2 linked regions of the Sus scrofa genome follow. The protein of the gene in region 1 binds, or shares a complex with, the protein of each later gene. Links are inferred from orthologs where the notes say so. Each region holds a gene or a part of one and is shown in the gene's direction. Other genes may lie near its edges.

What was found.
Region 2: BCAS2 (region 1) and CDC40 share a complex: the UniProt entries of both Homo sapiens proteins name them as parts of the postcatalytic spliceosome P complex. The link is inferred for Sus scrofa from reciprocal best matches to the Homo sapiens genes BCAS2 and CDC40.

What each region holds. Positions count from the first base shown.
Region 1 is NC_010446.5:105,997,201-106,004,370, forward strand, and holds the end of BCAS2 (pre-mRNA-splicing factor SPF27), read left to right. Parts: intron 1-3,725; coding exon 3,726-3,776; intron 3,777-4,392; coding exon 4,393-4,473; intron 4,474-5,658; coding exon 5,659-5,785; 3' UTR 5,786-5,960; downstream 5,961-7,170. UniProt on the Homo sapiens protein: Required for pre-mRNA splicing as component of the activated spliceosome. Component of the PRP19-CDC5L complex that forms an integral part of the spliceosome and is required for activating pre-mRNA splicing.
Region 2 is NC_010443.5:76,212,293-76,219,462, forward strand, and holds part of CDC40 (pre-mRNA-processing factor 17), read left to right. Parts: coding exon 1-30; intron 31-1,429; coding exon 1,430-1,569; intron 1,570-2,856; coding exon 2,857-2,953; intron 2,954-4,233; coding exon 4,234-4,373; intron 4,374-5,163; coding exon 5,164-5,238; intron 5,239-7,090; coding exon 7,091-7,136; intron 7,137-7,170. UniProt on the Homo sapiens protein: Required for pre-mRNA splicing as component of the activated spliceosome. Plays an important role in embryonic brain development; this function does not require proline isomerization.

The sequences.
Region 1 (7,170 bases):
AAGCTTTTTTTTTTTTTTTTTTTTAAACCCATCCCACCCATAGTCTTGCTAGGGGAAGTAGGATTAAAAATAGTATAACTGGACTTTCACTTGGATTATGTCCTAGAACTAGAATTCATATAAAAGGCTACTGCTTTGAGACCCATCTCAACATTTGAGAATACTAAAGGGACCTAAAACTAATGCATTTATTGTATAATATTGCAATAGTGAGTTCTGAGGTCTAGATTTACAAATCACAGCATGGTAGAACGTAGGGGATTGCTTATACAGTCAGCTCTCATTAGTTGCATGTTCTGCTTTATAAAGTGGCCTTGAATACTGAATTAGCAAACAATGAGCCAGTTCTCCTGGGAGAAATACATACATATGTAGATATACATATCTCTCACATAGATTATAATCTTAAATACTTTAAAGCAACTTATCATGGCAGGTTCTATATTTTCTTTATAAAAGAGAGGACAAAGTTGAGAAGTGTTAAGTAATTTACCAGAGTTGGAAATTAAACTCTTTCCTTTGGTCATGTCTGTATGGGACCTGAAACAAGAAGGCAGAGTATCACCTTGTTCCACTCTAGCTAGAAATGTTCATGTCCAGCAACTCAGTTTTTTTGCTGCTCTGAGCATGAATGATCACAAAACACTGCAAGTGTTGATTTTAGGTTACAGAAAAATTTGAATAAATAGGCAAAAATTCACAGATACAGAATCTGCAAATAATGAGACCTGACTGTAAGTAGAGAATTAACACCAGCAAAAAAATCCCAAAACAAGCCACTGAGTTCCTATTTCTGTTCCATATAATTAGCTTTAGGTTTTGTTATTTATTTAGGGTTCAGTTCCTATTTGTAAGTCAGTGCTTAGATGATCTCCATGGCCCCTTTGGGCCCTAAAATCCCAAGTCTCTATTAACAGTTTAAGGAGAAAAGGCCGTTGAACCTCATGAGTGTGCATAAAACTGTTAAAGAGTATGATTCCTGAAACTGTAAAGCAAAATTGCAAAATGATAAAAACCTTTTCCCAAATTTTCAGAATTGTGTTTAAATTTCTGTGGCCATATAGAGATTTGTGGGCAAAATCCAGCATTTAAGAAGCTACAGAACAATTCACTTTCTACTGTGAATATATTACAAGCAGAATAAAGGGGAAATGGGGCTGGAAGGATTAAGAAATATAAAAGAGCAGATCATTCCTAAAAATGCTTGTATTTTACTAAGTGGAAAAATGTCCTCTTTATCCTCAAGAAGCTTTATCTAGTTGAGGAGACAATATATTCTGTGGCAGATAACCACTAGTTCATTTTGGTGATACGGGGGCAACTGCTGCATTGCATGTTGTGGTCCATAAAGTACTGAGATCCAAAGAAGGGACATTTAGATCCCACATAAAAGTGATTTCATGCAGTATTTGTCTGACTTATTTCACTAACCTTCATATTCTGTAGAGCCATCCACATCACTGCCTATGGCAGTATTTCATTCTTTTTCCTGGCTAATACTCCACTGTATGTGTATATGCATAGCACATCTTAATCCTGTCACCTGAAAGGCATTTGGGTTGCTTCTATATCTTGCCTGTTGTAAATAGTGCTGCTATGAACATTGGGGTGCATGCATCTTTTTGAATTTAGAGTTTTCATTTTTTCCAGATAATTGCACAGCAATGGAATTGCTGTATCACACTTTTTTTAGTTTTTTAAGGAACCTCCATACTGTTTTCCAAAGTAGCTGGACCAATTTACATTCCCACCAACAGTGCACAAGCGTTCCAGAAAAGAGTGAGCACATCCCAGGAATGGAGGAGGGCATAGATTTCAGGGTGGGCCTGGAATATTACATTGAAGAGAACATTGCTTTCAACTTGCCTAGAAACCATTTAGTAATTTTCCCTTACCTACAAGGTAAGGTCCAGACTCTTTAACATGGTATTCAAAGCAAAAGGCTATACTTCGGTTGTAGACTTCGACTCCAGCCAAACTAGTCCTGACTTTGGTAATTATCATAAACCCTGCTCCTGAGCCTTTACTCAGGCATTGCCTCCTCCCGGAATACCTTGAACTCTTCTACCCAGATTCAGCTTATTTAGAGCCCGACTCTGATCTGCTTCCTTGTCTTCCTTGATTGAAATTCTACCTCTGGTACTCTCTTCATGTTCTTAGTAACTTTACAAATAATCATGCACGTGTTTTCCATTTAATTACGTAACACTTTATAGTGTTGGCCGTTCTCCTGTGCACCATGTTTTCTCTCCTCCAAACCCAGTGGATACTTCTCTAGAAATGTACTATGTCTTAACAAAGTAAATTTTCTTTCCTTGTGGAAGGATTTGAGGGTGTCAAATAGGCTAGACAGTGCTTTTAGCTTTTAGCAGGACTGCTAACATATGTATGTATATGAATATATATATATGTATGTATATTTCATTCATTAATAAGAGAATTCTGTACATGAAACTGAGGAGTAAACCTTCAAGGTCAGCTCCCAGTTTTACAAATAAGCAGATTTGGGCCCAGTGATGTCAAGTGACTCAAGGACACATACCTATTTAGGGAAGCGCTGGGACTAGAACCCAAGTCTTCTGACTCCGTGGCACAATGTGGGAAGTTTCAGGTTCAGAGTACTTGAGGAGGGACCTGGGTACTTAAGAGGGAGGCTGGAAGAAGGGAGACGATGACAAACTGGGCATTCTGAAAGAGGTAATTCAAAGGAAAGCAAAAAAAAGCAAAGGAAAGTTCCCTGTTAATGGTTAGAGGTCAGGAAGAGACCACTGAGCTTCGTTGTTCTTGGCATGGAATGATGGTCAAAGTCAAGGAAAGTGGGATGAGCTAAAGGAAAGCCTGGAGAGGCACAGCTGTTTGAAGATCAACTCTAGAGAATTGGGGTTAGTTACAGAAAATTTGTCAGTAGAGAGAGGAGAACAGCAGGAAATTTGAGTCACAAAAGCAGGGAAACAATACTAGATCTACAGCAAGAGCATAGTAGTCAGTATGGTTGAAATGGACTCCAAAAGTGATTGTCTGCTGCCTTAAGAGGAAATTGATACAGTATGCGAATTATATCTCAATGAAGTTGTTATTTAAGAAAAAGAGGACAGTTGAACTCTGCCTTGAATCACTTCTCTAATGATAATAATCTCATGGAATTCTGTTATCACTCAACTTCTCCCCTCTGTACTTAGAGCAGGCTTGGACTAGAATCTGAATCTGCAGCCCTCCACAACAGGTCTCTTCTTAGTTAGCAGTAGACAGGAGAGAAGAATAATGCAATAAATGTAGATAAAAAAGGAATTCACGTTGTGCCTCAGCGGGTTAGGAATCCAACTGGTATCCATGAGGATGCAGGTTCGATCCTTAGCCTGGCTCAGTGAGTTAAAGATCCGTTGTTGCCATGAGCTCTGGCATGAAAAAGATTAAAAGGGGTTTAAATGAGTATTTTCCATCTTCTTTATAAAAAAAGTAATAACAGTTTAAGGAGTAATGTAAGTACACAAAATCAGAATATCGGTGAACAGCTTGGATCTAAAGTAGAATTCACCTCTGACACTTAGCATTAAATTAACTAGTATTATAGAGTGCCTAACAAGGTGTTTGGCACAGAGAGCTCAATAGATATTAACTATTTTTAGCAGAAAAACTTGACCTTGTATCAGCTAGATAGTTCGGTTTTAGCTGGTGGTATTTGATTTTAATGTACATTAATCTGATTTCCTTTTTCTTTTCCTTAGAAATCTAGTTCATATGATTGAACATGCCCAGAAAGAACTCCAGAAATTAAGGTAAATTGTTAGGTGAATCCTTAATAAATAGAGTGGGAAGAAGGAACAATGGGTTGTTGTCATATGAGAGTAGACAATTGATGATCCGCTCTTAGTCCAGTGTTTAGTGTCGAGTTTGCCTCACCTGAATGGAGGAGCAGAAGACCTGGTGTCTGAAAGCATCTCTACCAAGTCATTTGCTATCTGCAAGTCTGCAGTTGTTGAAAGGTCCCCTTTAGAAGGGGAAAAAGTTGTAGAATAATGTGTATAACCTGATTTATGTCAAAATGAAAGCCCTGATCTCTATATGTACATGTACATACAGGAAAAAATCTGAAGGAACACTCACCAAAAACTGAACAGAAGTTATCAGGGAGAAGGAGAAACACATGGGAGGAGGGACTTTCAGTTTTTAATTTGTACATGTGTGTGTGTATGTATTTTCCACTGTGAGCATGTTTTATGAAATTTGTAATTGAAAAATAATTAGAAGAAAGTTAATTCCTAGAATTAGTCCATAACTTTATGTATCTGTTCTTCTCAGTGATTAAAGATGTATTAATTATAGATTTTTCTGCTGATTTTGGTCTTATGTTAAAATGTAGATGGGTTATATAAATACATTTTTTTTTTTCAGGAAACATATTCAAGATTTAAATTGGCAACGAAAGAACATGCAGCTCACAGCTGGATCTAAATTAAGAGAAATGGAGTCAACGTGAGTATTTACAGTTCCATCATCTTTTAAATTGCTTAGTACATTTTAACGTCAAGATTCAGCGATGTAATTGGAGTTCCTTTCCCTTCATGGCTCAGTGGTTAATAAACCTGATTAGGATGCATGAGGATACAGGTTTGACCCCTGGCCTCTATCAGTGGCTTAAGGATCCAGTGTTGCCATGAGCTGTGGTATAGGTCACAGGCATGGTTTGGATCCCATGTTGCTGTGGCTGTGGTGTAGGCCGGCAGCTGTAGCTCTCATTCAACCCCTAGCTTGGGAGCCTCCATATGCCGAGGGTGTGGCCCTAAAGAGCAAAAAAAAAAAAAAAAGAACAAAAAAAATAAAATAAAAATTCAACAATATAATGAAAACAGTATTCAAATGGGGTGCCAAAAGTGCCTTAAAAATGCTGTTTTCTAAATCGCACTCTTCATTGCCTCTGCCTCTTCATGAAGTCTGGGCTTGGAAGGAAAACAAAAACTGAATCACTTCTAATTGATTCTGGTCTTAAGCTCCCTGTTTTCCATTCAATACTTCTGCTCTGAATAGGATTCTATGTATATTCTCCTTTTAAAAGGAAAAAAGTTTACTTTTTGATTCTTGCAGGAGGGAGATACTTTCTTGATAGTTTGTAAACTTTTTGTTTTGAGATAAGTGTAAGTTCACATGCAATGTTAAGAAATAAAAGAGATCCTGTACACCCTTTACTCACTTTCTCCCTTAATTGTTTTTGAAAATGTAAAGCTAGAAGTAAAAGTGAGTTTAATGATCCCAGCTGAAAATGTATATACTATAAAAATCTTCTAAGAGGAATTCCTGGAGTTCCTGCTGTGGTGCAACAGGACCTGCAGCATCTTTGCAGCACCTGAACATAGGTTCCATCCCCATCGCAGCACAGTGGGTTAAAGGATCTGGCTGCAGCGTCAGCCACAACTGTGGCTCGAAGCTGATCCCTTGTCTGGGAACTCCATATGCTGTGTGGCAAAAAAAAGAAGAAAGAATTCCTTTGGCACTGGGGGTTAAGGATCCAACATTTTCACTACTGTGGCTCAGGCTGTATCTGTGGGGAGGGTTCAGTCTCTGGCCCCAGAACTTCCCCATGCTGTGGGCATGACCCCCCCCCCCCAAAAAAAAATCTTAAAAGAGAGATTAAGTAATTTCCCCCCTTTTCTTCTTTTTTAGTTGGGTATCCCTGGTCAGTAAGAATTACGAGATTGAAAGGACTATTGTACAATTAGAAAATGAACTCTTTCAAATGAAGCAGCAACATGGAGAGGCAAACAAAGAAAACATACGGCAAGACTTCTGAAAAAGATTAATTTGGCGGGTAGGAAGGAAGGCTTTCACAGAAGATCAGGCATCTGAGCTATGAGGAACAATAACATCCTATGAAAATCATCCAGGTTAAATGTGGAAACCGTAGAATGTGGACTGTTATATGTCATTTGTACATTTAAGCAAAATAAAAAATTTCAAAATGGTGGTGTTTTTGTTTTTGCTATTAAAAAAAAAATCTTTAGGTCTCCAAGTAAGTATGACCTTAGAATAATGGTTATATAATTAATTTTGAGCCACTAGGACCATATTTTTTGTACCCAAGAGATCTTTATTGAAAGTTTTTTGGAGTTCCTGTTGTGGCGCAGTGGTTAACAAATCCAACCAGGAACCATGAGGTTGCGGGTTCGACCCCTGGCCTTGCTCAGTGGGTTAAGGATCCGGCATTGCCGTGAGCTGTGGTGTAGGTCGCAGACGCGGCTCAGAATCCCACACTGCTGTGGCTCTGGCGTAGGCTGGCGGCTACAGCTCTGATTAGACCCCTAGCCTGGGAACCTCCATATGCTGCGGGAGTGGCTCAAGAAAAGACAAAGTTTTTTCAACCTGTACGAGAAGTTGGAAACCTTTGGTTTATAAGTGTTTGAAATAAAGAGGTGGTTCTAAACAAATTCTTGATTACCAAACAATAAGAAATACAGTGGCTTCATATATCACCTATGATCATCACCACAGGTAACAGTTACATTAAGCTTAGTATGTGCTGAGCACTCTTCTAGGCACTTTGGGTAGATGAACTAAATTTACATGAATTTTAAAAATAATTTTTTTTTATCTTTTTAGGGCCGCATCGGTGGCATATGGAGGTTCCCAAGCTAAGGGTTGAATTGGAGCTGTAGCTGCTGGCCTACACCACATACATCCACAGCAATGTGGGATCCAAGCCGGGTCTGTGACCTATATACCACAGCTCACGACCACACCAGATCCTTAACCCACTGAGACACCAGGGTTGAACCTGCATTCTCATGGATACTAGATTAGCTTCTGCTGAGCCACGATGGGAGCTCCAAAAAAATTGATCCTCACAAAAAATTTGTTCCCATACATTTAACAGGTACTGATTAACTAATCTGCCAAAGTTTGTTAAGCTAGAGGGCATCATCCATGTTTTTTGTGGGGTTTTCTTTTGCTGTTGTTGCAGTTACTCCTTTTTAGGGCCACAACTGTGGCATGTGGAAATTCCCAGGTTAGGGATTGAATTGGAGCTGCAGCTGCTGGCCTTTGCCACAGACACAGAAATGTGGGATCGAGCTGCATCTGCCACCTACACCACACGGCAATGCTGTATCCTTAACCCACTGAGTAAGGCCAGGAATCAAACCTGCATCTTCATGGATACTGGTTGGGTTTGTTACCACT
Region 2 (7,170 bases), on another chromosome or scaffold:
GTTCTGTAGAAGAAGCTGAAAAAAATCAAGGTAATTTATTTGAAATATTTAATATCAAATATATATACCTATACTTACTGTCCTGTAGATTGACTTTAGACAGTAGGAAAAAAACTAGTATTTAATTTAGCTCTCGATTTTTTTTTTTTTTTCAGTTGAGACAATAGGTGATAATAGTTTAGAGCAGTGTATAGAACTATTAGTTTAGAGCTGCTTTTGCCACTTCTAGGTATGCAACCTTGTAAGGGAGATTGTCAAACCTATTTTGGCATTGGTGTGGGGTGGATAATGAGTTGGGGGCATAGTGCCAACCTTGTAGAAATCATTTAAGAAATTAAAATTATGTATAGCTAATTTTAGTATTTTCATTCTCAACACTGCCAATGTCAAAGTTCATTTTAATAGAACAGAAAAAAATACTGTGCATGTCTTTGAAGAGTTGCTTTGAAGACTGAGTTTGAATTATGTGTTAAAACATATCTTTGTGCTCGTATTCATTTTGTACTTATTATAAGACAAAGCATCATACTCTAAATACTAACTTGTCACAAAGCTCATCAGCCAGTTGGAATCTCACCCATAAAATTCTCATTAGAAAAAGAATATGCTGTTTGTAGGAGGGCACTTAGTAGTTCTAGAGCCTACATAATCAAGCTGCCTTTGGTTTTTGAGCGAGGTTGTTAAAATAGGATTTTAACAAGTTTTTGTTATAACACACAGCCTAAAGGAAATTGATTTGAAATCATATAGGTAAGCTTTTTTCTTTGTTAGACTTCTATAAGCCACATCTTATGTCTGTTAACAGTTTCCTTGGGACTATGATGCCCATAAACCTTTCTTTTTCCAATTTAATGACTACACACAGCATGCCACTTCCTACTGATCAAATCAGAATCTTGACCAGAAACATCCTCTTTTCTTCTTACTATTAAGATTTATGATATTAGAGGTCAAGTTTAGATTGAGATAATTTGGAAAAAACACCAGATTTTTGTGAAACCTTGTATAATTTATATTGTTGCATTACGAGTGAAGCAAAGAAAGAGTTACTAATTACTTAGTATAATTTAATCCAATTCAGCTTTTAAAAGAGAAAGCTTAATTTATTCTTGCTCTCAGAGGTAACTTTATCATTATTTAGCAATATTAAATTGCCATGTTTCAAAAAGTAGTTAAAATCTGATAAAGATCTATGATTAATTAAAAATATTGTGTACCACTGCAGGATTACATAGCTGGGTCTTTTCTTCACATGTATTAGGATTTGCAAAATATTGTAGTAGTAGAAAGCTCCTTTGCCCAGAAAGTTGTCTTTTTTTGTATAGCATGAGTCAGTATATCTGGATTCATACAGGTTTTATTTTATATATTGTTATTTCTTTAGAAAATACCCATATTTGTGATCTCTGCTTTTTGTTTTTTAATTCAGGTTTAACTGTTTTTGAAACTGGTCAGAAGAAAATAGAAAAGAGGAAAAAATTCAAAGAAAATGATGCATCTAATATTGATGGTTTCTTGGGACCATGGGCAAAATATGTGGATGAAAAAGATGTAGCCAAACCTTCAGAAGTAAGCTTTATGATTTTCATTGCCAATTCAGGTGTATGCTGGGTCTATGAAGGGCATCTATACTAATAAACTTGAGGTTTCTTTAGAGTACCAAATGATTCATCAGAATTTCTCTGCCTTGGTTGATTGAGAAAATACAGTAAGATTCCTTTGTTTTTCTTTGGAATAATTTTTGTTTATATTTTTCTGTTTTATTTTCTTTCATACTTTTTAATTAGAATATAATATTGAATAATTTTTAATAAAAAAATTACCTTGATAATGCTGTTAAGGTGCCATGGTAGCTCCTTTTCTGATACCAGATATTCAGATAGTAATTACAGAATCAGCCTTTCTTTCTTTGATTTTAGAATTGATAAGTTTTATTAATTTATTTTAAAATTTTAACAAAGTATATATATATTTTTAATAATATTATGAAGTTTATAAAATAAAACTATAAAATTCTGCCTTGCCTCTCTCCGCCTCCTAAACCCTACTGCTTCTTATGAGCCAGTCACTGTTTTAGGTCTTAGGCATATAGCAGTGGACAAGATTAAGAAAATCCTATCCTCCTGAAGTTTAGTCATGAAGCTTAGGCTTATATCTCACATCCATCTATCTCAGTAATGTACATATGTTGCTATTTATTTACTTTCACACCTTCCTTTCATTGCTCCTCCCATAAAAGTTGTACCACAAATCTGTAGCCCTTGCTTATATCCTCATGACTACATGAAAGCTGTTTACTGAAGAACAACATTGTGAACTAAAATTCACTGTCCTTTCTGGTACTAGATTGTTTAATTGCCTCATCTTTTCTCTTGAATAATTAGCATAATATATTAAATCACTTTTTGAGTGCTCCAGAAGGATGAGTTTTATATAAAATGAGTTTTAAAGATTAACTAGTACCCACTGTTTGTGTAATGGTATTTTGTGATTTGCCAAAGAATAGCTGAGATTGTTATCCTGGGAGACATACTTGCAGATATTGTTTCACCAAAAAGTGTACCTCACTGTAAAGAATTTGACTGTTGTTGGCCATGAGGGGTTTTAGAACATCCATTTTATTTTATTTTTTTATTTAATTTTTTTTATGGCCACACCTGCAACATATGGAAATTCCTGGGCCAGGGATTGTATCTGAGCCACAGCTGTGACTATGCTGCAGCTGCAGCAATGCCAAGGATCAAACGCATGCCTCCATAGTAACCTGAGCTGCTGTAACCAGATACTTAACCCACTGTACTGCAATAGGAACTCCATAGAACATCCATTTTAAAGTTCATTTCTTAATTTCCTTAGGAAGAACAAAAAGAATTGGATGAAATCACAGCAAAGAGGCAGAAAAAAGGCAAACAGGAAGAAGAGAAACCTGGGGAGGAAAAGACTATCTTACATGGTAATGTATTTTTTATCCCTCTTCATTTTTATGATAAACTTTCAGGTAATTACTCTGTTCTCTGTTCATATATCAAGTGCCTTTACTAATCAGCTACTAGAATTCATTATTTTAAGAATTATATTGGACAGTTTTCATCCCAAAGAAATTACAGCAAACTCTTCTGTGTTCTAATAAAACAGAGATAGCCACAGATGATTTTTTGAAGTGCTAATGAATTTTTTTTTGAAAGTAGATAAAGAAGATTATGGCTAACAATCTGTTCTTTCCTAAGATAAAGTTGACTCTTTTTGGTGTATAACCAGTCATTTTAACCTTTTGTTTTTAACCCAAGCCAGATATTCTCCAGTTATTGTCACAGTTCATAAGTGTTACTAAATTGTACTTTAAAAGAATACATTGTTTCATGTACGTAGACTAGAGATTAAGATTCTTATCCTTACTTTGATTTTAGAAGGCAATACATATTCACCAAGATAAATTTAAAATATTTTAAAATCTACCTGGTTCATTAGTATCTAGTTATACTGGGGAAATTATGTAGTGATTAACAAACTATGAAAAATAACTCAGTTCTGATAGTATTGATTATTCTAATGTTATATCATTTCAAATATATAGGTTTATATCACTTATCAAATATATTTGGTTTTTCAAGTTTTAGTATTGTGGTGCTTGCAGTCATAATAATATAACAGCCAACATTTATTGAGTACTTACTCTGTTCAGCATGCTACTAAATGCTTTATATATACTATGTCATTTAATTCTCACAGGTAACTTTATTGAAAAATCTGGGTTGAAAGTAGAAAACAGAATGGAAAAGGAACCTGGAAGGGCATAAATGAGGAAAGCAGGGAAAAGGATATTTGATATTTTTTTGTTTTAACTTCCTCCTTATTCTGTTTTGCTTCTGATTCTTTGCCAATGACTCACAAGGCCCAAGAATTGTCTTTTCTCCTCTCTGCAATTATACAACAGTGGAGTCTTTTGTATATACCACTAAAATGTATAACTGAGTAAAGGAAGTAAGATCTTGTTTAAAGGTCTGATAGTGTCTGGATATTTAGGAATTCCAAAATACTACCTCTAATTGTAAACAACAGTGATGATTTCAGGCAGCTAAATTTTAGCTGACTCTTGGTCTTAACATCATCAATATTATTACCTAAACCTTAATATTCCCAATGAATAAAATTCTTATTATTTTAAGAATATAGATTTCATAACTAGGAATTATATTTGTTCACAGCTTTTTTTTTTTTGCCTTCTTGTTTCAGTTAAAGAAATGTATGACTATCAAGGCAGATCCTATCTTCACATACCTCAGGATGTTGGTGTTAATCTGAGGTCAACTGTGCCACCTGAGAAATGTTATCTTCCCAAAAAACAAATTCATGTGTGGTCTGGACACACCAAGGTAAACATATTAGTAGTTTTTGTTTGTTGTAATATATATTAGTAAAGCCAACATAAATTTTAGCTATTGATGTGGGACATTCAGTATTTCTAGGAAAGATGTAAGGAAGTCAAATAGAACAGAGAAGTCAAATTGAAAATAAACCAGAGTCAGACTCTGGACGTACTCACACATATGAGTCACAAATAAGTGCTCAGTCTTCAAGGTCATCTGGATGGGCCATGACATGAGCATTCATAATTCAGTGTCCTGTCCTCTTACAGTGGCCTAGACTTTTCCCTCCAAGTTCCCACCATAGTCTGCTTCCTCTTGGGCACCAAATCAGTGAGTAATGGGCTGGTTCTAGCAGTAAAGCCTCCATTATTTTGCCTTAGCTCTTGGGATTACCACACTTCAAAGAAGATTAGATGCTCCCTGGTTTATAAATTATAGTAATGTTTAAGCTAATGCAGAGACAAGATACTTGAAAACTTTGATACTGATATTCTTTGTTATCTGCACTATTATAACTGGTAACTTCCTGCTCCTAGCAAAGAGCAAACGGACTGAGCAAACGCCTGAGCAAAAGAAGGAAGAGGAGTGAGGGCATTAGCAAAATGATGGACTAAGAATTCCCTTGGGTTAGGAAGTCAGTACTAAAGGTTATTATTATTATTATATTGGGGCATAATTTTTGGAATGAAGAAAAATAGTAAATTTAGGTGGCTTAAAAATATACCACCTTTCCCTTCGTTTGATTTTAGCTGATATTTCAAATGCTTCTAATTGATAATTGTAATACCTTTTACAGGGTGTCAGTGCAGTCAGATTGTTTCCTCTCTCCGGCCATTTGTTGCTGTCTTGTTCCATGGACTGTAAAATTAAGGTGGGTTTTCAGTAACAGAGTAGGAGTGCTACAAAGCTAGTGCTTTGGTTAAATCTATTTGGCTAATTATAAATAAATCTGGGTTTGTTAGGCAATTAGAGGCTAATTATTTTCTCTTAGGCCCTTTCTATGCAGCAATTTATGAACTGCTTCCAACATGTTGATTCAGATATGGCTTTGTGGTCCAACTGGCTAGGCTCTTTGTAAGCTTAGATAGTCGATTAGAACATAATCAATCACTTCAGCTTTAGACACAAATATTTAATCACTAGTAATGCATTTTTATAGAGGTTTTTGGATATGTCACTGAGTTCATTTGTTCTTCAGCACCATAGAGGTAGAGAGAACCTGTGATAGAATTCCCATTTTTAAAGAGTAGATAATATAATTCACTCTTTGTCTCCTAAATGTTAGTAGCAGAATTGCTCCCAGCCTCTTCTCCCACTTTTTATAGCCTTGAGAAGCTCCACATTTAGCTAATGTTCAGCTGTAAATTGTGTGGTAGGAAAAGCTCAGTTGCCGATACATGTCAACTTGAATATGGGAAAGCCTTTTAAAAACTTAAATATGGAGGATAGTTTTTATATTTTTTGTGTGTTCCGCGTCCAGATCATTATAGTGGTCAATAAATATCAACCCTATGATGCTCTGGAAGCTTGAAAGGTTGACTGATGAAAATTTTATTCTTTGTAAATAATTCATGGTTAATACCAATATATAAAGGCAGCTTTTTTGGATAACAACCCTTTAGACATTTGCCTCTACTTAGTGGCTTAAAATGACGGGACAACAGTTTGGAGTTTGGAGTTAAAACTCTTATTTCCTTTAACTTTCACTCTACACAGACTACGTTAACTGAAATTAAGATCTTCTAGCCAACCAATTAAAAAAGCATAGAATTCAATTTAGTTCACCTCTGTAAACATTTATCTATTATGTGCAAGGGGCTGAGGATGAAAAATTACTAAGGTGATCACTTCATTACGATGTTGTAGAGGCAAGTGCAAGGTGTTCTCGTTTCAGAGGGGAGGCGTACCTCAATAGGAAGGTAACTAAGTAAAGGGAGGGGGCTGGGCCTAGGAAGGAGGGTATGTCTGAGAGGAGTGAACAGAATGAATCCCATGGTGTGTGCTGAAACCACAGTTTTGTGGTTGCTGGATGCTAAAACCTGAGAGGCACAGGCTGACCACCATCACTCACAGGGGATCGAGTCCTGGAAGTCCTTTCCTGGTGTGCTGTGGGAACTGAGACTTGATCCTGTTGGTACAGGGTGGCCAGGAAATGCTTTCTATTTTAGAACACTAGCAACATTGTCAAGGATTGCATTTGAGGCAGGCAAGATATTGTATTAAATCACTTCAGATGTGATGAGAATTATGAGTCTGGAACATTTTAGTCTAGGTCATCATTTTCATAACAGCTTTTATAATAATTAATACTTCAGGAAAGTTAAAAAAAAAAAAACTCTCAGTACCAAAAAGTTACAAACATGACAATTTTAATAACATTTTATTCTTTTAAAAGTAGTTCTTAGTTTTATGTAAGTAGAAATTTTTCAGCATAGAAAATATATCAAATACAGGAAAGAAAATGAAAAACACCTATATAAGCTCCAAGTTCTCTTTATTTCAGAGTTTAGTTTTAAAATGTGTGTGTATATATGTATTTATGTATAGTCCAAATAGTGCAACACAGACTAGCAGTGTCAAGGGATATGTTTAATGACGTGCCTTTGATTAAATTCCCTGCACACACATATAAATGACCCAGGACTGTTGTTTTTGATTGGAAGTTGTCATTTTATCAAAGTCTATTAAATTTAACGTTTCTATGTGTTGTTTTTTTTCTCCAGCTATGGGAGGTTTATGGAGACAGGCGCTGTCTGCGAACATTTATTGGTAATACTTCTTTTCTCTCTGGCTGTAAATCTGT